Linked DNA regions of Macaca mulatta. The protein of the gene in region 1 interacts with the protein of each later gene in a biochemical or structural test. Links are inferred from orthologs where the notes say so. Each region holds a gene or a part of one and is shown on either strand. Other genes may lie near its edges. The genes, in order: SUMO2, DDX3X and SIMC1.

Region 1 (3,751 bases):
TCTGCGGTGACCTTGTGGAGAGCAGTTTTAGTGGAACTTTGGGGACAGCACCAGATTGCAGTGGGTTGAGGAGTGAGTGGGAGGGGAGGGGTTGGAGACAGCTGGCAGGGACATTTTTTCAAGCTGTTTGGCCAAGAATGGAGAGAGATAGGATGGTAACTTAATAGAATTGAGAGCTTCTTCTTTTTTTTTTTTTTTTTCTATACTAACGGAGGAGAGGAAGAAAATTCAGGGACAAAAGCAAATAATAAAGCCCAGGGGGAGGAGCAAGATGGAATCCAGTGCACACACTGGATTGTTCTTCAGACAGGAGGGATGCATGTCTATGTTTTAACTGGATGCAAGGAGGAAATGATTAAATTGGCTGGAAGCTTGATTGTTGGGTAGTTCTCGCTTAAGGATACTGTTTCCTCTTGGAAGATAGGCGATGAGTAAGGAGTTCGTTGAATGAATACACGAACATTTTCCCGTAGCTAGTCAAAGTCTAGGGTTACCAGCAGGACAGAAGAAGACACTGCAGGCCGGGTATGGTGGCTCACGCCTGTAATCCCAGTACTTTGGGAGGCCGAGGCGGGCGGATCACGAGGTCAGAAGACCGAGACCATCCTGGCTAACACGGGGAAACCTTGTCCCTACGAAAAATACAAAAAATTAGCCGGGTGTTGTGGCGTGCGCCTGTAATACCAGCTCCTCGGGAGGCTGAGGCAGGAGAATCGCTTGAACCTGGGAGGCAGAGGTTGCTGTGAGCCGAGATCGTGCCACTGCACTCCAGCCTGGGCAACAGAGCGAGACTCCGTCTCAAAAAAAAAAAAAAAAAAAAAGAAGAAGACACTGCATTTGAGGCAAGAGTCCGGTGGGAAGCAGGTTAAGACTGACTGAGAGGAAGTAACCATGGGAGGGCTGCTGGTCCACTGAAAGAGAGAGATTTTTCCAGAACCTCATGCTGGGGCTTTGATTTAGGAATCCCCTTCTTCCTCTAGTCAGTCAGCCTTCCCTGGCCTATGGCTCACGTCTAAAGCCTCGAGCCTCATCGTTCCCACCGAGGACCAGCTGGAAGCCATTTTGATTATGCTCCACCACGAAGGAGGACAATACAGCCCCGCCCAGAGCCAGGCGCGCCCCCGCGGCGGGCCGGGTGCGCGTGTCCGCGCTTCTTCCCGCCGGCCGGGCGGGCGCCTGGCCCAGGACGCGGTGGCGCGGGGCGGGGGGTGGGGGTGGTTATGTAAGCGTTGCGCGCTCCCGCGAGGCGCCAGCCAATGGGAGGCCCCGGCGGCTCGTGCTCGCGCACGCAGGGTGGGGGGAGGGAGCGCACGACGTGCGCGCACCCTCTCCCTCGTCCACCGCTGCCGCCTCCTTCTTCTGCCGCTCCTGGTGCTGCTTGTGTGCTCGTTTGGTGCGGACCTGGTACCTCTTTTGTGAAGCGGCAGCTGAGGAGACTCCGGCGCTCGCCATGGCCGACGAAAAGCCCAAGGTGAGCTCGGCGCCGGCCCCTTCGCCTCGCCGCGCGGTCGGGGTCAGGGCGCGGGCCGGGGTCCGGCCAGAGCTCGCCGCTGGCTCCCAGCGCCTTCCCGGGCCCCCCACAGGGCCGGCCGCAGCTCAGGCCCCGGCGCTCCGCGCCATTTTCCTCCCTCCCTCTCTTCCTCCCTCCCGCGCCGGAGGAGGCCCCGCCGCTCTCTCCCGCCCCCGGCGGCCTCCGAGTGCGCGCGGGGCGCGAGTTGGGCGGGCAGATCGCGGACGCCCGCGGGCCCACCAGCCCCGAACGGGGATTCTTGGCCCAGCCGTCCGGCGCGCGTGAGGAGGGGCGTTAGGGCGCGCGGGGTCTCCACCCTGCGCCGACCCCGCGTCGGGTGTTGCAGTCTCCGAGGCGGCGGGGAGTCCCCTGGGCTCGGGCTTCACCTCTCAGGGGTAGAAACCGCGGGCATCTGGGGACTCCTGCCCGGGGCGGCGGCGGCGGGGCGAGGGTTCGGGGCGAATCAATGGGCTGCTGATGAGCAGGAACCTGGATGCCCGCTGGCCGCCGTACTGGGCCTGGGGGTAGGGGGATTCCCGTGGAGTATTTCCCACTTTAATGGCCTCAGGGACCTGAGGGGGGAGGGGCAGCGGCTTTTCCCTGGGTGCCAACGAACCCCTAATCCGCGAAGACCATGTGGTTTCATGAAGTTGGAGGCACAGGTAGGAGCAGAGAGACTTTGTGCGGCTTAACTTTTGAATGCGGCTTTTGAGGCACCCGAAGACTTCCCGGGAGGACTGGGGGACACCCATCATCGGGGCACACGGGACTTGCTGCTTTTAGTTTGGTGACACCTCCCGCCTCTCGCGCCTTTACTTTCTGAAGCGTTTTAGGGCTACAGCATGCCTTCTACACTCGATTTTGGACAACTTTAGGTTGGGTCGAAATCTACAAGAAACACTTGGGATAAAACTGTGTATTTGACCCATGACAACAAAGGGGAGGGGAGAATAAGTGCTCTTAACCGAAGATAAAAATGAAGCTGCTAATAGAGGAGAACGTAACTGTGGTCCTGAGTATTACCGCTGTTCCGGAGGGAATCGGGATATTCTTCGATTTTTCGTGTGTGTGTTTACTTTAATGGAGATTGGATTTAGGTTATTAAACTGAGTTTGGTAACTTTTTAACGACAACGGTAATGAGTTTTGAATGGCAGGCTGTAGATTTATTGTTTTGTTTCTTGCAGTTGTACTTAAAGTGCTTAGAAAAGAGACTCTTATTTTTAACTTTTTTTGGGGGTAAAATATATATTTTGGGAGTGATATATGCCATTTTAGAAAGTTTAGCTTCAAGAGAACGTTCAATACACTGAATAGGACCCAACTTTAAACATGTATTGTTGTTACTGATAGTATTGCATGTAGGCTTTTCTGTATCTGACAGCTATCTAATACTGTTGCTGCAGGATTTCTCCTCTTTCACATTGATTTCAGCAGCTGAAAACAGCCGTATGCCGTTTTAGCATACCGTATGAGAAACCTGTTGATTTTTGAAGCAACTTAGGGCTGCTGCTGCTTTATAAAAGTGTGTGTTGATCACATTTCCCAAATTATACTTTTATTTTTCTTTTAACAGGAAGGAGTCAAGACTGAGAACAACGATCATATTAATTTGAAGGTGGCGGGGCAGGATGGTTCTGTGGTGCAGTTTAAGATTAAGAGGCATACACCACTTAGTAAACTAATGAAAGCCTATTGTGAACGACAGGTGAGGAATTCATATGTGTACTTCCACTGAATAAAACTATTTTTAAAAATCTTATTTTCATGGGAACAAAAACTAGCCTGGCATAATACTACAGTGACTTTTTGATGGGATGAATATGCACTTGTACTTGGCATGTCAGTTTTATCGTGCACTTGGTAGCTTGCTCATGAAAACCCTTAGGATGATTTGCTTAGTATTATATGTGGTTCCAGTCCTGTGCCAGAAATCCATCAAATTGTATTTACAATACTTGTTTTTTGGTTTTTTTTTTAACCAAGGAAATGTAATTTTATGTTTATAAGAAAGTAAGAGTGAACTTGGTAAAATTACTTAAGAGTCTTTTATTATTTTATTTTATTTTTTTGAGACGGAGTTTCATTCTTGTTGCTCAAGCTGAAGTACAGTGGCGTGAGCTCAGCTCACTGCAACTTCCACTTCCCGGGTTCAAGCAGTTTTCCTGCCTCAGCCTCCTGAGTAGCTGGGATTACAGGTGCCTGCCACCACGCTTGGCCAATTTTTTTTAGTATTTTTGGT
Region 2 (3,651 bases), on another chromosome or scaffold:
TACCCAGGAACCTTGTCTATACTGAGAATATATAGTGATGAGGGTTTTTCTTTTTCCCAGGTATTCCTGATTGTCATCAAGCTTATAGTAGACGAACCACTAAAATAATAGTACCATTTGACAGTAGTATTCTTGTGCTTTATACTATTGAAACTGAAAAATATTGCATTAAACCAAGTAATCTGACAGTCTAAGAATGTTCTAAATGAATACCACCTCCAAGAAACATGGAAACAATAGTAACTGTTTCCTAGTAAACCCATTCACACCTATAAAATGAATGGAAATTAAATTGTGATGATCATACAACAGTATCATAATCAATGTGTTATAGGCAAAGCTGTTGACCACTTAGAGGTAGTATTCATTCAAAAACAAGTCAGATTGCTTGATTTAGTGTACAGTAAAATTTTTTTTTTTTTTTGAGACAAGAGTTTCACTCGTTTCCCGTGCTGGAGTGCAATGGCGCGATCTTGGCTCACTGCAACCTCCACCTCCCAGGTTCAAGTGATTCTCCTACCTCATCCTCCTGAGTGGCTGGGATTGCAGACATGTGCCACCACGCCCGGCTAATTTTGTATTTTTAGAGAGACGGGATTTCCACGTTGGTCGGGCTAGTCTCGAACTCCTGACCTCAAGTGACCTGCCCGCCTTGGCCTCCCAAAGTGCTGGGATTACAGGCGTGAGCCACCGTTCCTGGCCAGTGGACAATATTTTCTGGTGGGGAGAATTAAAAACTTTGTCCTGGTGTAAACCAGCTGTAAATCTTGGTTGTCTTATAGGACCATGGTAGGAATATCTTGAGATTGAACCTCAAGCCCACAGAGATAAGATAGTGGAGGCCTTCAAATTCAGAAAGATTGATAATACCTTAACATGGTTCCTATTTCTAATTAATAATAAAATGGATTTGTGCTCTTTTAATCGAAGGTTTCTACGACAAAGACAGTTCAGGGTGGAGTTCTAGCAAAGATAAGGATGCGTATAGCAGTTTTGGATCTCGTAGTGATTCAAGAGGGAAGTCTAGCTTCTTCAGTGATCGTGGAAGTGGATCAAGGGGAAGGTAAGTGATTTCTTGTCTTACCACCTTATGTGTATGTGTAATAACAGTTTAGTAAGTTCTTATCCTGACCACCCATTTGGATGTCAAGCATTATGTCTGTTTAGTCATTGTATTTTCTTGGCTGTAAGAGGCTTTTACTAAATTGAACCTCTTAGTTAGAAATTAGATGAAAATAGGAATATGTTCATTGGCATAATGAAATGAGTTATTCTATTTCTCGAGTTTTATATGTTCCACTTAAAAGAGTAAGTTCCTCTAGTGAATGGCCTAATTTGGTTGGGATTTTTGTGGACTCTATAACAATTTCTAAATACCTTGTATTTTTGGTTACACAAGTATGGTGAACTGACCCCATGTGCCTAATAGCTGTTGTTAGTCCTGTGTCCTGATTTTTCGCAAACAGGCCTAAAACTCTAATAACATCTTAGTTCAGGTAAGGATTATTTTCTACCTTTTATCCAAAGTCACACAGGTGAATTGTCCTTTAAGTGACATCCTATTATAACTAGGACAATTGATATTCGGTGTGCTATTTTCTTCTTTTCCCTACCATTAAATATATTTGGATGAGCACTTTAAATGAAGGTTGTGAGCTGTTTGCCAGTTTCAAGTAAAATCTTTATTCTTAATTTTGTCATCTGCGAGGCTTTTTAGGCTATACGACTTTATAGAAATATAAAGATTACTGATTTTAGAAAATGAGGTTCTGTAAATGATGCTGGTTAGAGAGCCTTATTTGTCAAATAACTCAGAATTGGATTGTTGACATCCTTATAGTTAGCCATAACTTAAGTCTCCAGATACAGTTCTAGAGTAGGGATAAGAATCTGATAATGGTTAAATGATATGATTCTGATTAATTGCTTGTGCTGTTCAGGTTTGATGATCGTGGACGGAGTGATTATGACGGCATTGGCAGCCGTGGTGACAGAAGTGGCTTTGGCAAATTTGAACGTGGTGGAAACAGTCGCTGGTGTGACAAATCAGATGAAGATGATTGGTCAAAACCACTCCCACCAAGTGAACGCTTGGAACAGTAAGTTTTTGAAGTGTATGTTACTTGTGATGAAGCATTATAGTATAACAAATGAACTTACCCATCTTTTGATTTGAGGGAACTCTTTTCTGGAGGCAACACTGGGATTAATTTTGAGAAATATGATGACATTCCAGTTGAGGCAACAGGCAACAACTGTCCTCCACATATTGAAAGTGTAAGTATTTTTACTTGACTTTTAAAGACACAGGGATGTGTAAATGTTTTCATGGTACATTAGAATGTGAGGTGAGCTTCATAAAGTCATGTAGACCAGCAGCTTCATAGATTTGTGGAAAAGGAGAAGTTGAGTTCAGTGTCACCATTATGAATAATTTATTACCTAAAATAGAAAATGGGTCAAACATAGGAACAACCCAAAGTCTTCTCCAATGTGCAGTAAGCCTGGGGGTTGTTTTTTCTCAAAAGTATAATATGGTAATTTTCTTAAACTATAAGCTGAGTTACAAATCAGCTGTTGGTTGTTTCCATTATTAGTATAAAACAGAAATAGCTTTAGATAGCATTTCTAACCCCATTGAATTTCTTCACAGTTCAGTGATGTTGAGATGGGAGAAATTATCATGGGAAACATTGAGCTTACTCGTTATACTCGCCCAACTCCAGTGCAGAAGCACGCTATTCCTATTATCAAAGAGAAAAGAGACTTGATGGCTTGTGCCCAAACAGGTAAGCTCAGCTCATAAGAGTAAAACATTATCATATTTTTTCTGTAAAGGACTAGACAATAAAATATTTTTTTATGGGCCATGCAGTTTTGCAGCTGCTCAGCGCTGCTATTGGACTGTGAGAGAAGCCATAGATGATACATAAATTATTGGGTATGGCTGTATTCCGTAAGAGCTGTATTTATAAAAATAGCAGGCTTTATTTACAAAAATAGTTGTCTCAGTTTGCTGACTCCTCTTAGAGATGGACCAAAGAAGCCACTTTTTGGAAAACTTAATCATAAACTAAAAGTACTAATTACTAGTAATAGGGCAGTTAAAAAACACTGTCATCTACCAATGTCTGTTTAAAATTAATGAGCAGGATTTGTTTGTTTTTGAACAGGGTCTGGAAAAACTGCAGCATTTCTCTTGCCCATCTTGAGTCAGATTTATTCAGATGGTCCAGGCGAGGCTTTGAGGGCCATGAAGGTAGATGTTTCTTTATAAAATGGGAAATTATTGTAGAACTTTGTAGGAGGCCATTGAGAGGGCTTTCTAAATGATGCTAAGACTTAAGTCGAATGAAAAACAGTTTTCAAGTGTAATCTGTAATCTATAAATTACAAAAGGGAATTATGTTGTGATGAACTTTTCAAACAGGGTAGGTAGAGTTAACTTAAAAATTGATTTATTTCTTAGGAAAATGGAAGGTATGGGCGCCGCAAACAGTACCCAATCTCCTTGGTATTAGCACCAACGAGAGAGTTGGCAGTACAGATCTACGAGGAAGCCAGAAAAGTAAGTATGAGTTCCAGTGATTATTAGCTTTTTCATTGATTCTAATTAAATGTTTTATGAATATGTAAAAATTTTGATCTTGA
Region 3 (3,651 bases), on another chromosome or scaffold:
TCCCATGTCATTAAAAGTTTTTTAGCTAAAGCTCTTGTTTGTCTGGTTGTTTTGAGATGGAGTCTCGCTCTGACACCTAGGCTGGAGTACAGTGGCGCCATCTCAGTTGACTACAGCCTCCACCTTCCAGGTTCAAGGAATTCTCATGTCTCAGCCTTCAAGTAGCTGGGACTACAGACACATGCCACCACGTCTGGTTAATTTTTATATTTTTAGTAGAGACGGGGTTTCACCATGTCGGTCAGGCTGCTCTCGAACTCCTGACCTCAAGCAGTTCACCTGCCTTGGCCTCCCAAAGTGCTGGGATTACAGGTGTGAGCTACTACACCCAGCCTCTTTTTTTTTTCTCATTATGAAATATTTCAAATGCCTGGAAAACGTTGCTGTCTTCAACCTATTCTAGAACCTCTTATTTTTGTATTCTACAGAAATCCCTCCTAATTTCCTTCTTTTTAATCTCTACAGAACAAGGGTCAAAAATTAGAACCCATCCCTCATCGAAGACTAAGAATGGTAGCAAATACCATTGAAGAGAATTTTCCCCTGGGGACTGTGCAGTTTTTGATGGACTTTGTGTCACCCCAGCATTACCCACCAAGAGAAATTGTGGCTCACATCATCCAGAAAATCTTGCTCAGTGGCTCTGAGACTGTGGATGTCCTAAAGGAGGCCTACATGCTTCTCATGAAAATTCAACAGTATGAACCGTAACCTCTGGCTGTTGGTGAATCTTCTAGGGATCTTGGACTCAGGGCATAGCTTTCTCTTGACAGGCTTTTTTAACTTGTTACACAGTGGGTGACTTAGTATATTAGTGTTATTTAAATTGCAAATGATAAGAAACCCAGTCTAAGCAGACCTTAACTACTGGTAAAAGAGAATGTAATGCCTCTTGTTACTAGAAACCTAGGAGTAAGATGTGACTTGATTCAGTATACAAAAATGGTTACCAGGATTCATTTTGCAGCTCTACTTTGGTTCTGTTTTGGGGCTGCGTGTGGTAGCCCTCTCACCCTCAGGCTTTTATGACACTTCCAGTGGGAGAGAGTGTCTGTTTCCTTTACAGTCACCCAAGAGTTCTGAAATTGAGTCTTGCAGGATTTAATTGGCCTAATGAGAGACATGACTATATCTTTGAGCCAATCACTGTGAATTGAGGGGTAGAACAGCATGATTGGCTAAAAAAGTCATATACTTCATTTTGGCGTTCTGGTAGGTAAAACTAGTTGGTTAAGAGTAGTGAAGAGTTGGTTTCTTAAGACAAAATTATAGTACTAAAGCTTTCCAAAAGGGGAGTGGATACTGGGTAGCAAAAAACAATGAAGTTCCACTACTCTCAGATTGACATGGTATAATACCACAGGGTGAGCAAGAGCGTGGAGGATAAGAAGAGGCTTCTTCCTTCTATCACCTTCCAGATCCCATCCCTTCTCCCTCTAAATTCTCCATAATTCTAATTGATTTCACTTGACTTTCAGGCTACATCCAGCCAATGCCAAGACAGTGGAGTGGGACTGGAAACTGCTCACCTACGTCATGGAGGAAGAGGTAACAACAATTACGAGGTTATATCTTCTGTAGGGGAAGTTTTAACTGTAAAGAAAAGTGATACCAGGTGCCATGGCTCATACCTATAATCCCAACATTTTTGGAGGCCGAGGCAGGAGGACAGTTTGAGCCCGGGAGTTCAAGGCCAGCCTGGGCAACAAAGTGAGACCCTGTCTCTACAAAAATAAAAATAAAAAATTAACCAGGCATAGTGACGCATGCCTGTGGTCCCAGCTACATGGAAGCCTGAGGCAAGAGGATTGCTTGAGCCTAGGAGGTCGAGGCCAGTGATCCATGATCACAACACTATTCCAGCCTGGGTGACAGAGCAAGACCCTGTCTGAAAAGAAAAGTGACAGTAAATCTGGTAATAAAGTCTACACCATTATTCCCTCCTGATACTCCCACCCCTGCCAAAAAATTCCTATTGAAATGGTATGTGCTGTCTTCCAATTCAAGATTTAGTATGTTTACTTATCCCTCTCCTTGAGATCCCATTAAAAATAATAGTAAATGAATAGAGAAAGTTATAAATTCATGGCTATAAAAAAGGGGGAAGGATAGTGGATTTGAATGAAGATTAGGGAGACCTACAGAGAATGTAAGAGTAATGACTGATGAAGCTGGGCAGAGAAAGCCATATACATGTAGAGAGGCTACAGCCAAGGAAGGACGAATCTTCCCTTTAGAGCACCAGAGAGGTCTTGGACTCAGAAACACAGTATCTAATAGAGGGCAGGAGTCAGATGTGGGCTGTAATTGGATATTTATTTTGAAAGTTGGTGGATGGAACAGCCAACCTCTTCTGAGGACAGGAGGATCAGTAGCCAGGTTACCCACCTTCAGGCAAAAAGTGAGAGAATTTATTGTCTAAAAAAGTTTAATGAGGCTGGGCACGGTGGCTCATGCCTGTAATCCCAGCACTTTGGGAGGCCAAGGCGGGCAGATCACATGAGGTCGGGAGTTTGAGACCAGCCTGCCCAACATGGAGAAACCCCATCTCTACTAAAAATACAACATGAACTGGGTGTGGTGGCACATGTTTGTAATCCCAGCTACTCAGGAGGCTGAGGCAGGGGAATCGCTTGAACCCGAGAGGTGGAATTTGCAGTGAGCCAAGATAATGCCATTGCACTCCAGCCTGGGCAGCAAGAATGAAACTCCGTCTCAAAAAAAAAAAAAAAAAGTTGAAGGAACCGTCTGTAATAAACAAAGAGCTAGTGCAGAGTTGGTGCTACAGGAAAAAGGTCTTCCACATTCTGACCTTTAAGGATCCCCGAGTTTAATAGCCAACTTTTTGTCTGCTCACCTAAAGCAATTAGCTACAACAAATTACTTTCAACTTAGAATTCTGTACATAGCCAAACTATCAGTTAAGTGTGAGGATAGAATTAAGACATTTCCAGCTATGCAGGAATTTGAGAATATATCCCCACACCCTGTTTCTTAGGAGGTTACTGAGGTAGTGTATCAAAGGCATGAGGAAGTAATCAAAAAAAGCGGGAAGGCATGGGATCCAGGGAACATCAGATTTAATCCAGGAGAATATTGAAGAGATGTCCCAAAATTACGATGAAGAGCGCACCTAGGAAGCAATTAGTCCAGATTGGAGTGAAATAACGGAGGACTTTAAATAGGAACAGTCTGGGAGACATCAGCAAGATGGTAGACTAGGAAGCTCCAGGCCCTTGTTACCCCATGGAGACACTGAATTAACAACCATATACAGGCCAGAATATCACTGTGAGAACTCTAGAGCCGAATTAAGAAGCTTCAGTGCCCAGGCCAATGCCTAACCCAGAGCATAGTCTATCAAAAGTGCTAGGAAAGTTTGTGGCATTTTACATGCCCATGTGCCTCTCCCTGCCTGGCAAAGCATGGTTCAACCAGGAGAAAACCTCCCATACCTTGGCTCTTCCCTTGGGCCAGAAACAAAAGAGTGGACCATGCATACAATGTACTGACTTGTATGGGGGCTGCCTGGCCGCCCACCTCGGCCTCCCAAAGTGCTGGGATTACAGGCATGAGCCACCGTGCCTTTCCTGGAGTGGGAGACTGAGGTGGGAGTATCACCTGAGGTCGGGAGTTCTAGGCCAGCTCAGC

Evidence for each region.
Region 2: the proteins of SUMO2 (region 1) and DDX3X form a complex in vitro, tested with the Homo sapiens proteins (2 studies listed by BioGRID). The link is inferred for Macaca mulatta from reciprocal best matches to the Homo sapiens genes SUMO2 and DDX3X.
Region 3: the proteins of SUMO2 (region 1) and SIMC1 form a complex in vitro, tested with the Homo sapiens proteins (2 studies listed by BioGRID, with this or other methods). The link is inferred for Macaca mulatta from reciprocal best matches to the Homo sapiens genes SUMO2 and SIMC1.

Annotation. Positions count from the first base shown.
Region 1 is NC_133421.1:84,873,783-84,877,533, reverse strand, and holds the start of SUMO2 (small ubiquitin-related modifier 2), read left to right. Parts: upstream 1-1,321; 5' UTR 1,322-1,450; coding exon 1,451-1,471; intron 1,472-3,085; coding exon 3,086-3,217; intron 3,218-3,751. UniProt on the Homo sapiens protein: Ubiquitin-like protein that can be covalently attached to proteins as a monomer or as a lysine-linked polymer.
Region 2 is NC_133426.1:41,240,425-41,244,075, forward strand, and holds part of DDX3X (ATP-dependent RNA helicase DDX3X), read left to right. Parts: intron 1-930; coding exon 931-1,063; intron 1,064-1,940; coding exon 1,941-2,099; intron 2,100-2,177; coding exon 2,178-2,277; intron 2,278-2,653; coding exon 2,654-2,789; intron 2,790-3,173; coding exon 3,174-3,259; intron 3,260-3,469; coding exon 3,470-3,568; intron 3,569-3,651. UniProt on the Homo sapiens protein: Multifunctional ATP-dependent RNA helicase. The ATPase activity can be stimulated by various ribo-and deoxynucleic acids indicative for a relaxed substrate specificity.
Region 3 is NC_133411.1:185,230,514-185,234,164, forward strand, and holds part of SIMC1 (SUMO-interacting motif-containing protein 1), read left to right. Parts: intron 1-465; coding exon 466-698; intron 699-1,478; coding exon 1,479-1,548; intron 1,549-3,651.